Bombyx mori: one gene and its partners. The protein of the gene in region 2 purifies or fractionates together with the protein of the main gene of each other region. This does not show direct contact. Links are inferred from orthologs where the notes say so. Each region holds a gene or a part of one and is shown on either strand. Other genes may lie near its edges.

Region 1 (3,812 bases), on a different chromosome or scaffold from region 2:
TACTACAGATATTATCAACTGCCGTCCTTTCTTAAGACATGTGTCCTTACAGTCTGTACAACTGTAACTCATTACCTAACGCTTCAGGAAAAAATAAGCCAATGGAAATGAAAACCAATTATTATGGAAATTAAAATTTTTACAGGTTTGATTTTTATTACATGATGTCAATCCTTCAAGGTGAAAAAAGTACACTTAAACTTTTAGTTATTATGTTTTGTTGCTGCTTGAAGAATGCAGTCCGTGGGAGTAACCCAGAAAAACGAATATGTTAACAAGGCCGCCGAAGCGGTACAGCTGGTGTTCAGGGGTACTACCTTAGACTAAAACCAATGTGCTTGGTTACAGCCAAATTAATACCCAGAGTTTGCGAGTATTCAACAGTCAGCAAAAATTTTTAACCCTTGACTTTGGTAATAGTTTTACTCTCATAATCAACATTCCAAGTTTCAGAAATAGATTAGAGTTAATATAATTTTTTATGAATACATTGTTTGCCTAAAATTTAATAAAATAAAACATGTCTGTAATTGAAATAAAAATTATTTATCAGTGTGATGATTGTCTTGCTTTGAATGAACTGGAAAGAGTGATTGATTAATATTTTCCGGTATAACTCTAGCAACTTTCCTTGGTTCTTTGACTAGAGTTTTAGGGCACTGCATCTCTGACCAGCTTATTGGTACCATGCTGACCCCTTGCGGTGATCCTTCAGCTGTAGCGATAACAACTCCCAGTTCATTTTCTGCAGTCGATAATTGGTACCAGTGGATTTCCGTCATTGGTAACTGAATTCCAGTTTAGGAAAATGATTATATATTATTTAATATTCAGTGAATATAATAGATGTATTTTTCAAGCTTGAGTAGACATAGAGTTTGATGTTATACAAAACCAAAACTGCATTCTATTTTGCAGTATAATCATAATTTCTAAGCAAATGTGACTCCAAAATCCCACAATGCTCAAGTGTTTCATGTGGTAGGCAAACTATAAGGTTAGTACATAATGTAAAGACCCATCTAATGAGTCAAATACAAACAAAGAGTAAGTCATTATTAAAAGTGAAAAGGTTTTTTGAATACTAACAAGTTTATAATATTGTAAAGGATACAACTCTAGCTAGTATAATATCTCCAGGTCTAAAACATTTATATGGATCAACTCTGTCTTTCTCTGTTGCCTTTATATCTTCTTTTTTTAATATTCCTTTGTACATTCTAACAAGTACTGAAGGGCCAACACAGAGGATTAGGCATTGTACAGTTCTTGGATTTACAACTGTTACTTTTGCGGTTACTATGTCACCTGTGTTGGGTAAAACACTTGGTGTTCTTGAACTTTCTACTGAAATTATATTAGCCTAAAAAATTTTCAATCATTAGTTTAATTTATAGGTTTTTTCATTTGTTTCATTTTCTATTTTGTTGAAATAGAATTCTGGGGTGAATTTAGAATTTCATCTGCTATTGCATAAAAAAATATTCTGCTGCTAAAAGAAGCGTCTGCTTGAAATAGTGAGCAAGCCTAAACTAAAGACCATAAAACCGAGTGTCCATAAGTGTCTTCTACAGGCAGTAAATTCCATATGATATACCTGTTAAGCTACAGTACCTATCTTCGTCCATGGTAATGTAGTGTTTTGCAGAGCATATTTATGGGCATTTTAAGTCACAATTAAAGAGGCACGGATGACGGTTGCAATAAAATCGTTTTAGCAATCAGTGGCAGCTTATACAAAGACTGTAACGTTATTTACTTTGGTGTTTTCATCCTCTTCTGTTTTCAAGATTCCAGCTAAAGCCGCATAAATATATCCTTTCAATTCATAGGTTCCCGGCCCTGATACGTTGTCTTTGTTTGATAAACTCAGTCGCATTCCAGGAATACATATTGAACCTATTTCTTTTATTTTTTCTTCCAAATTCATAATGTAGTAGAGGTTAGAATTTACAATTTAACTTGAACTACAACTTAAAGTTCGGTTAGATTATTTTCGTCACAGCTAAAACGTGTCTTTAATTGTAAACTGTCTTATAATAGTGTGTTGAACTGTGTTGTTTATTAATTCCAGTTACAGTTTGTTATTTGTTATGTACATAAGTTAAGATCACAGAACACTATTACTTCTAGCGAAGATAAGATTCTCAAATAAATTAGGTGTATAATCTATGGTTATGATCTTTTTTTTAATCGCGTAGTGAAATCATAGATTATACAAAAGTGCAAATGTTTTTTTGTTCGTTCTTTGATTAATTAAGTAAAAGAAACAAAGTTTATAGAGCTTAATCATTTCGTAATAGAGGGTGACATTTCTTCCATGAAACGTACAACGCAACGAAATCAATTTTTATTTAAATTGTTGAGATGTGACATTCCCTTTGTAAAATCCCGGATAACTCAGTCAGAGCATGAGACTCATAATCTCAGAGTCGTCATTCGAGACCCACGTTGGGCTATTTACATTTTGATCTCAGGTAAGCTTTTCTCCACGTGCCCCTTAGGTGCGAGGACCTTGTAAACCAAGAATAATAAAAATATTTGCGTTGTCGACTGGTACTACTGGAACTAATGTGGATTTACTGTAGATCATTCATTGGTGGTGTGAGCCAGCACAAGCAAATACCAGTACTCTGCCTATTCAATTATTCTGTCACGAAGCAGTAATGCATTTCTGTATGAAGGATGGGGCAGCTGTTGTACTTTAATACTGAGACTTAAAACTCATATCTAGGGATCGATAGTGGCATTAAGGTTACGATGTCTCTGGGTTTTATTTCAGAAAGAAATTATAAAGGACTTGGCTTCTGCCTTAATGATTTTTTTATTTCAGGATATAATATAAATCATATAAGACCTGGCTTCGGCTTTTTTGAAAATTCATTTTAGAAATTATATACAACACACAAGGCTGTATGGGTTTAGATCCCCTTGCCTTTCCTAATAAGGAAAAATTGAATCAAAAAATGTCTATGGGCTCTAGTGACCACTTAATACCAGATGGGCCTGGACTTTGTCTCGTCTCTCACTCGTCTAAATAATTAAAAAATATTGTTGCAGTAAGCAATGGCGTTGCTGGCTTTCCACTTTACTACTTTGACTACTTACCAGGTGGAACGTGTGCTCGTCTCCCTACCACGGAAAAAACGTTAGTAAGGAAGAGGGTACCACCACCACTACCACCAGTATTTGTTTTTCCTCTATTATTTCATCTACTAAAATATCATAATCGACTTGGATGATGCAAAATATTCTCACTTATTTTCGTAAAATCTTACTAGCCATAATAATATATTTTATCTACATAATTAATTACTGATTATTGTTAGTGCTACGATATGGTTCGTGAAAATCTATGTTATACTGACATCTAAGTTGAAATAAATGATTTTTGAACCTTATTTATATTATTAACTCAAAACACTCACAGCTAACATCGTCTTGGCTTATAGGATAAGACATCCGGTGCATTCGTGTTGAGCGATGCACCGGTGTTTCGAATCCCAGGCGGGTACCAATTTTACTAATGAAATACGTACTCAACAAATGTTCACGATTGACTCCCAAGGTGGAGGTATAACATCGTGTAATAAAAATCAAACCCGCAAAATTATAATTTGCGTAATTACTGGTGGTAGGGTCTCTTGTGAGTCCGCGCGGGTAGGTACCAGCATTAGTTCTGCCGTGAAGCAGTAATGCGTTTCGGATTGAAGGGTGGGGCAGCCGTTGTAACTATACTTGAGACCTTAGAACTTATATCTCAAAATGGATGGCGCATTTACGTTGTAGATGTCTATGGGCTCCAGTAACCA
Region 2 (3,276 bases):
TGTATTAGCTAAAGACGGGCTAACAAAAAATATTGTTCACGCTGCAGTATTAAGAGATTAATATTATGTAATAAATTAATTATATATATATATAATTATTACTTTTAATAAATTAAAACAATTAATGTTCGGTGTTTTGTTATTTTTAAACAACATTCCCTCATCGTTCACAGCGCTCCAGGCCTTTTTCACTCATATTGCACATCCTTATACACTTCCAATAAGTTAGTAATTTTTTTTCTACACTAGAAATTCTCTAGAAATCTTATATATGGCAAGACAACGTTTGCCGGGTCAGCTAGTATTAGTATATAATAATGAACACGGAATCTTAAAGGAAATTACTAAATTCTGATTCCTTATGTTTATTTTTAATTAAAAAAGCTTACCTATATAAACTACTAGGTTTACTACTAACGTCTTAAGTGATTGTTTCTAGAATCATCTGTAGATGCGTTGTTCAGCAATAACTTTGTATACTTGCCGACACGTAAGTTGGCAAGGTTTTGGCTTAGTGAGGGTTAGGTCGCGCATAGTGCACTTAATTCAACAAAAAACTGTCACACGCAAGTGTAATCGGGAGCGAACGGAACGTAGACGCGGTGCGGGAGTGGAGGGTCGTCTGACTCACCAATCGCGCGCTCGGAACGGTACTACGACATTCCCCGCGTCCCGCTTGACAACCAAAGAGATCTAAAAAACGACTTGTATGCATCTAACTACTCTTCCCAAGTTACGTGCCGGGGACTGTATACGCGGCCTGAATTATCGTATTGTTCGATAGTGAATCAGTATCGTATCGTGACTTTGTATTCGCGGCCTGAATTATCGTATTGTTCGACAGTGAATCAGTATCGTATCGTGACTTTGTATTCGCGGCCTGAATTATCGTATTGTTCGATAGTGAATCGGTATCGTGGTTGGCGTGAGTGTACGCACGTGAGTGTTGAGCGCCACGGAGGCGCGGCCGGCGAGCTGCGCGTGGCGGTGCCGGTAGTTGAGTGTGTCGGCGAGCGCGGCCTGGCGGCGCGCGTCCAGCAGCGCGGCGTGCGGGCCCGCCCCCGCCACGCTCGCCGCCAGCAGCCGGTGCACCACCACGTCCGCGTACCTGCACACCGCGCCCGGACAGAATACTTAACCATACACATTTTTATCAACTTATGCGGCCCACAAACGACCCTAAAATCAGTGGCGATATTGGGACAGCGATGGTGGGGATAATCGTCCCTAAATCTTGAGCTCGCCCGAAGCGACATTAGAGTTTAGGGTAAACAATACAAATCGAATTACAATTTGCCTATACCTCCTCGCGTGGTTTTCCTGAGGGTCCTGAGGTTTCCTGATTACTGAGGGTCGTGATTCCCCCGCTGCATCAATTTCTCCCGTACGATTTTCCTCTATCTGCCGCGATCCTTAGCTTCATGAAGGGCGCATTGTAGAAGTTGATGTTTAGAGAAGATCATATTTGGTCCGACCATCTCGTGGGACTGCGTCCTCTGGGACGTTTGCCATCTACCTTTCCTGTCACCATCTGCTATTCTAGATTGTGACCCTCTTTACGAGCAATATGTCCGAAGAAATCCAACACCGTACGAAAGCATATAGTGGAAAGTCTACTTTTGATATGAAGCTCTCTCAGAATAGACATGTTGGTGCGAAAGGCGAATGTGCGTATGCCACACGAGGTGATTTAGGGTACGATTTAGGGTCCTCCCCACCACGGTTGAAGTTGTCGTTGCCATGTAGGTCACCGGTGCCCTAAGCGGTGCACTGAAGTAATAATGTCGATTTCTGTCACTAAAGCACCTGAATTACCTAACTTAGCTTTTATTTGTCTCTTAATTTACGTTTTAGTCTTATATGTCTGTTAGAAATCGATACATTCTCAGTATTGTTCGGGTTCGTCTTTCTCAGGTTCTATTAGATATTCCGGCGCCTTAATAAGAAAATCGAAGAGAGAAATCGACATTTTACTGGTGGCAGGACCTCTTGTGAGTCCGCGCGGGTAGGTCCCTATTTCTGCCGTGAAGCAGCAATGCGTTTCGGTTTGAAGGGTGGGCCAGCCGCTATAACTATACTTGAGGCCTTAGAACTTATATCTCAAGGTGGGTGGCGCATTGACGCCGTAACACTAGGTGGGCTGTGAGCTCGTCCGCTCATGAAAGCAATAAAAAAAAACTTCAGTGCGCCGCGTAGGGCACCGGTGACCTACACGGCAGTCTACGTGTTAAAGGCAAGAGCCGCTACGTACCTCCGTATGGGCGAGGTGAAGTGCGTGTAGATGGGACAGGCCAGTCCGTAGTGGTAGTAGTGGTCGGCGGCGAGGCTCCCGCTCACGAAGTACGCGGCCTGCTGCATGCAGCGCGTCGCCATTATGCGCAGCAGCGTGTTGAAGAACGGCCGCTCCGGTATCACGGCCTCGTTCAGCGATTTCGAAAACGATTTGTTCGTTGACACGTCGATTTCGAAGCCCTGAAAAGTTTGCAGTTTTTAATTAAGCCGCGTTCAAACTACGCTATAATAAATAAAAAACTAAAAAATAGAATATAAATTTCAATAAATTTGAATTAAAAATAGTGCAAAAAAAAATGATTTTATTGTAAAAAAAAAGCGTGAAGTGCTTTTTAGGATATTATCAAAATAACCCTTCTACTAATATCTGTTCATAAAATATTTATAACTACTGATACCATGCACCCCACGCTTTTTTACAATAAAACTCATTTTTTCTTACATTATTTTTAATTCAAATTTATTAAAGTTTATTTTCCTATTTTTTAGTGGGATTTTCTATAAAAGCGTATTTTGTTAATATAGTTTTTTTAAACTATTATTTATTTTTCAGTTTTTAGTTGAATTTAAAAATTTTCAATTTTTTTTTATTTTGTATTGTCATCGGCCCTTAATAGTATATCAAATTTCAAGTTAATCCGACGTTTTGAAGGGGATCAAAATCATGTTCAAAGATTCCGTTACAAACATACATACGTCTGAAGCTAATAAAAAGCGTATTAAAAAGCATATAGTATATATGTAGTTCATAGCAGAACAATATCGCACACCATATATTGTTATGGACAAGTAAAGGCTGCTGTACTATATGGTACTATAAGTATAGCGTAGTCTGAAAGCAGCTATAGTCGTACAGCGTTTTGTGGTGGGTACCACCGCATTGCTAACCTTTGATGAAGCAGTAATACGTTGCGATTTGAACGGTAAGACAATTGTTGTACATTCGAATTAATCGGCGTAGCAGCATTCAAGGTTTGATAACTA
Region 3 (4,040 bases), on a different chromosome or scaffold from region 2:
AACTGTATTAATTTAACTTTTTTTTTATTGCTTAGATGGGTAGACGAGCTCTTAGCCCACCTGGTGTTAAGTGGTTACTGGACCCCATAGACATCTACAACTTAAACGCCGCCACCTACCTTAACATATAAGTTCTAAGGTCTCAGTATGGTTACGACTGCCCCACCCTTCAAACCGGAGCGCATTACTGCTTCACGGCAGAAACAGGCAGGGTGGTGGTACCTACCCATGCGGACTCACAAGAGGTCTTACCACCAGTAATTACGCAAATTATAATTTTGCGGGTTTCATTTTTATTACATGATATTATTCCTTCACCGTGGAAGTCAATCGTGAATATTTGTTAAGTACGTATTTCATTACAAAAATTGGTACCCGCCTGCGGGATTCCAACATCGTTGCATCGCTAGATACGAATGCACCGAACGTCTTATCCTTTAGGCCACGACGATTTCGAAACTCAACCATCCATACAAAACGTAAGCGCAATTGTACACAGATTTACATAGAACGATCAGTTCGCCCTATCCATAGTGAATTGCAATTTACAGAAAACTTTGTGGTATTGAAAAAGCTGTATTTCCTTTATTATTAATATTTTCTAGCTATAATTAAAACACAATAAAGTCACTCTTCTGCAATAATATTTATTCTATGCTGAGTTAAAAATGCTACGTCAAGCATAGCTTCAGGATCCAAGAGTTCCTTTACATTGTCGTATTTGAGACTTTCTTCGAATGCAAACATTATGCTAGTATCATCTAACATCATCTTAGATGCCACAAGTGCCAAAATACAATTTTTCACTCGCGCCATCGTTTCTCTTTCTGATTTCCCAACAGGCTGCAATAAAAATGATATCAGCATCATATTAGCATATGCAACAATTTCATGAGGGCATGAGAACATGCATGAGTTCTATTTTCTTAAAACATGGAAAAACACAAAGTTTAGTGAAAATGATATAATAAATCTTTAACTTGTGTTTATCGTTTATCTTTCTTAACTCCTATTCCCGAACACTGCACACTGATAGCATTAACCCACCTGAATTTCATAATTTTCAATTGCATCCTTATTTCCTTCCATAAGAATATCACTTTTGTGTGGACTAATCCATATATATCCATTATTCCCTATTATGACAGATACTGCACATGGTAAGTTGTGAAAATGATTTTTTCTGCGCTTTATCAATGACGGGAATACTTTTATTAAAGTTCCCTGTGAAAGCTGCAAAAAATAAAGTTTTCGAACAAACTCTTAAATTAATTTTTTTTTAGTATTAGCAAGGAGTAGAAAGTTCAACATTTTGTGATATTAATTATTATTAGAGGACTGTATGAATGATTCTATTTTAAGGTATGAAGGGCTATTTGGTTTAGAGGAAAGTCATGTAATTTAAAAATTGAAAAAAAAACATGACAAAACTTCTCCAGCTATTTCAATGGAGAATACTTAATTGGTGTTCAATTAAAAACAATTAATTGTATAAACTAATACCAAATAAAATTTACCTTTAATTACACAGATAGATGCCATGTAGTAAGCGAAGTGTCACTTAAAACAAATAGCCTTACGCCCCTTGATTTTATTTATTTAAACATATAGGTAGTGAATTAAAGCAGATTTAAGTGTTTGTGTAGACTTGTAATCAATTTGCTAATGAAGCATGTTTAATCTACTCAGAAGGATAAATATCATCTTCACTTTGGAGGATTTCAAAATTTAATGTTGCTACATATTTGAATATTTTTAATTTCCTTATAACATTCTTGTTGAACTTTAGAATAGTCATTTTTTATTGGCTTCATAAAATCTGATTACCTTGCCATATTTCAAACTTCTTGTATGCAATGAGAGCGAACCATCAGAAAATACATTCTGTACTTCAGCGCTTATCAAATCACCTTCCTGTAAATGTTTTCTCATCATCTGCTCATCCTCTTCTGAACGCCTTCTCTGGATTTAAAAAAATATATAAATAGTTATCATTAGATACAAGAAGATTGCTTTATATTATGGAAGTGTGCGTTAATTTACCAATTCTCCGCCAGGTAGATTTACTGAAGAAAGTTGAAGTATTGAATCAAGTCGTGAATTGGTATCAACTTTCCATCTTTTCTGTTGAACTTCCAATACTCTTCCGACTACCACATCGCCTATTTCTCCAACGTAACGACTCTTCAATGGGCGAATGCATATAAGTTTATTTACTTTTTGCATAACCCCAGCAACAGATGCTTTTAGGCAATCATCTTCTGCGTAAGTTCCGTGGCCTCTTAAAGTGCAAAATTATTAAATTTATAGTAATAATAATTCTTAACAATATTGTTTTCGCAAAAAATACCGACCTCATAAAATCTTGTATCCCAGTTATGACTTCGCCAGGAGTGTAAAAACGCGGCGGGTCATTATTTGAGGCAACCGAATGATTTACTCTTTCAGATGCGAGTTTTATAGATACATGACTGACCATTTCTAATGTTTTTTTAAGCTCCCTCTTTGCTAATTGTGAATTGTGTACAACGAACTCATAGACCTATAGTCGGATTTTTTATTAGACGAAGTCAACTGACGTTTACTGTGTTGTCAGGTTTTGATGAAATAAAAATAGTGTTGTGACAAAGTGAACGATTGAAAAAACTCCTGAATTAATGAAATTGCCTCGATTGTCTAGTGAATAGTTAGTGTGCCGAATTGCCGATATCGGGTACGGGGTTCGAATTTTAGGCGTGCTTTGTACAACCAATGAGTTTTCGACGAAATATTATGTTCCTATAGTATCTACCTGCACTGAATACCGAGTGTTTTAAACATTAAGAAAAACATTGCGAGGAAGCTTGTAAGACTGTCCTATTTCCAATACATCATATAGTTGAAATTATAGATGTATAAAATATAACAATTATAGGTATGTAATGAAAATAAAAAAAAGTAATTGTAGTTACATACTACTAGTAACATATATTGGAGCACTTTAATACAATTTTATTGTAAAATATAAATAATATTCTTTTATAGTTTGAAATTAATGATTAACTCTTCACACTCATTGTTCATTCATGTGATTGAACGAGAACTGAACAGATGATAAGGGATGAAATACAATCTCACTAAAATGACGGTTATTTACTGAGATTTTGGCCTTTTTGGACGATCCCGAGAAGTTACGTCCAGCGGCTTGGTTTCATTTTCCCACATTGGTGCACTTTCATAGATATTGAACAGTTAATAAACAACCGTTATTACAGGTTTAAACCTGAAGACACACTAAATAGACAAAATAAAACAAATCACACAATTTCACTCCTCGCATGTAGAATCATTGGTGACAAAAAATGTTTAAAAACAAATACGGCCGTACCAATATGATAATATGATGCGATACCATTGCCTCTCTCTCCTGTATTTGAAAAAGGAAATTACAAAATGTCACCTAAATGAGGCTAAATGTCAACATTGTTAGTAACTGTCAAGCTAACAGCGATTGCAAACATATCTCTACCTTGTTAAATTCCAATATGAGTATTTAGATTATGTTAATTAGAAATTAGAATTTATTTTCTCCTTTAAAATTGCCTAGTTTTTTATTTTACGCAATATTTATAGTTTCGGTTATATGGACTATTTAGACTGAATGCACCTCTATGAGACAGAAAAGTCGTTTATAAGTGTAATGATTTCTTGGCTCACACATAGTTCTTCAAAACTTAAATCTTTAAATAGCTGCTATTGAAGTAGGTTTTCAGATTTTCAGCTCCATAAAATGTCGGCAAACGCTGCACCTATAACAGCTACAGATAGCTTATCGCAAGCTTTAAAAGCGAACATTATACCAAATCAGGAATACTTACTTCAGGTACTACAGGATGTTGAAGTGGCTCAGCTATTTTAAATTTCAGAATAATTACAATATAGTCTACATTCTTCTACAGTTTCCATAAATTGCATACTTAACAGAACTAATTACCATAGTTGCAGCTATTGTATCCAATTCTTTTGACCCATTTGATCTGTTTACATACTACATTCAAAAT

Evidence for each region.
Region 1: the proteins of exosome complex exonuclease RRP44 (region 2) and exosome complex component CSL4 purify together in Drosophila melanogaster (affinity purification with western blotting; 3 studies listed by BioGRID, with this or other methods). This does not show direct contact. The link is inferred for Bombyx mori from reciprocal best matches to the Drosophila melanogaster genes Dis3 and Csl4.
Region 3: the proteins of exosome complex exonuclease RRP44 (region 2) and exosome complex component RRP4 purify together in Drosophila melanogaster (affinity purification with western blotting; 3 studies listed by BioGRID, with this or other methods). This does not show direct contact. The link is inferred for Bombyx mori from reciprocal best matches to the Drosophila melanogaster genes Dis3 and Rrp4.

Annotation. Positions count from the first base shown.
Region 1 is NC_085132.1:3,512,582-3,516,393, reverse strand, and holds exosome complex component CSL4, read right to left. Parts: upstream 2,292-3,812; 5' UTR 1,931-2,291; coding exon 1,760-1,930; intron 1,364-1,759; coding exon 1,115-1,363; intron 789-1,114; coding exon 543-788; 3' UTR 528-542; downstream 1-527.
Region 2 is NC_085115.1:11,139,530-11,142,805, reverse strand, and holds part of exosome complex exonuclease RRP44, read right to left. Parts: intron 2,473-3,276; coding exon 2,252-2,472; intron 1,109-2,251; coding exon 940-1,108; intron 1-939.
Region 3 is NC_085121.1:5,598,933-5,602,972, reverse strand, and holds exosome complex component RRP4, read right to left. Parts: upstream 2,616-4,040; 5' UTR 2,480-2,615; coding exon 2,355-2,479; intron 2,282-2,354; coding exon 2,044-2,281; intron 1,963-2,043; coding exon 1,828-1,962; intron 1,234-1,827; coding exon 1,048-1,233; intron 844-1,047; coding exon 628-843; 3' UTR 627-627; downstream 1-626. Other genes in the region: mediator of RNA polymerase II transcription subunit 18, read left to right, coding at 3,770-3,862.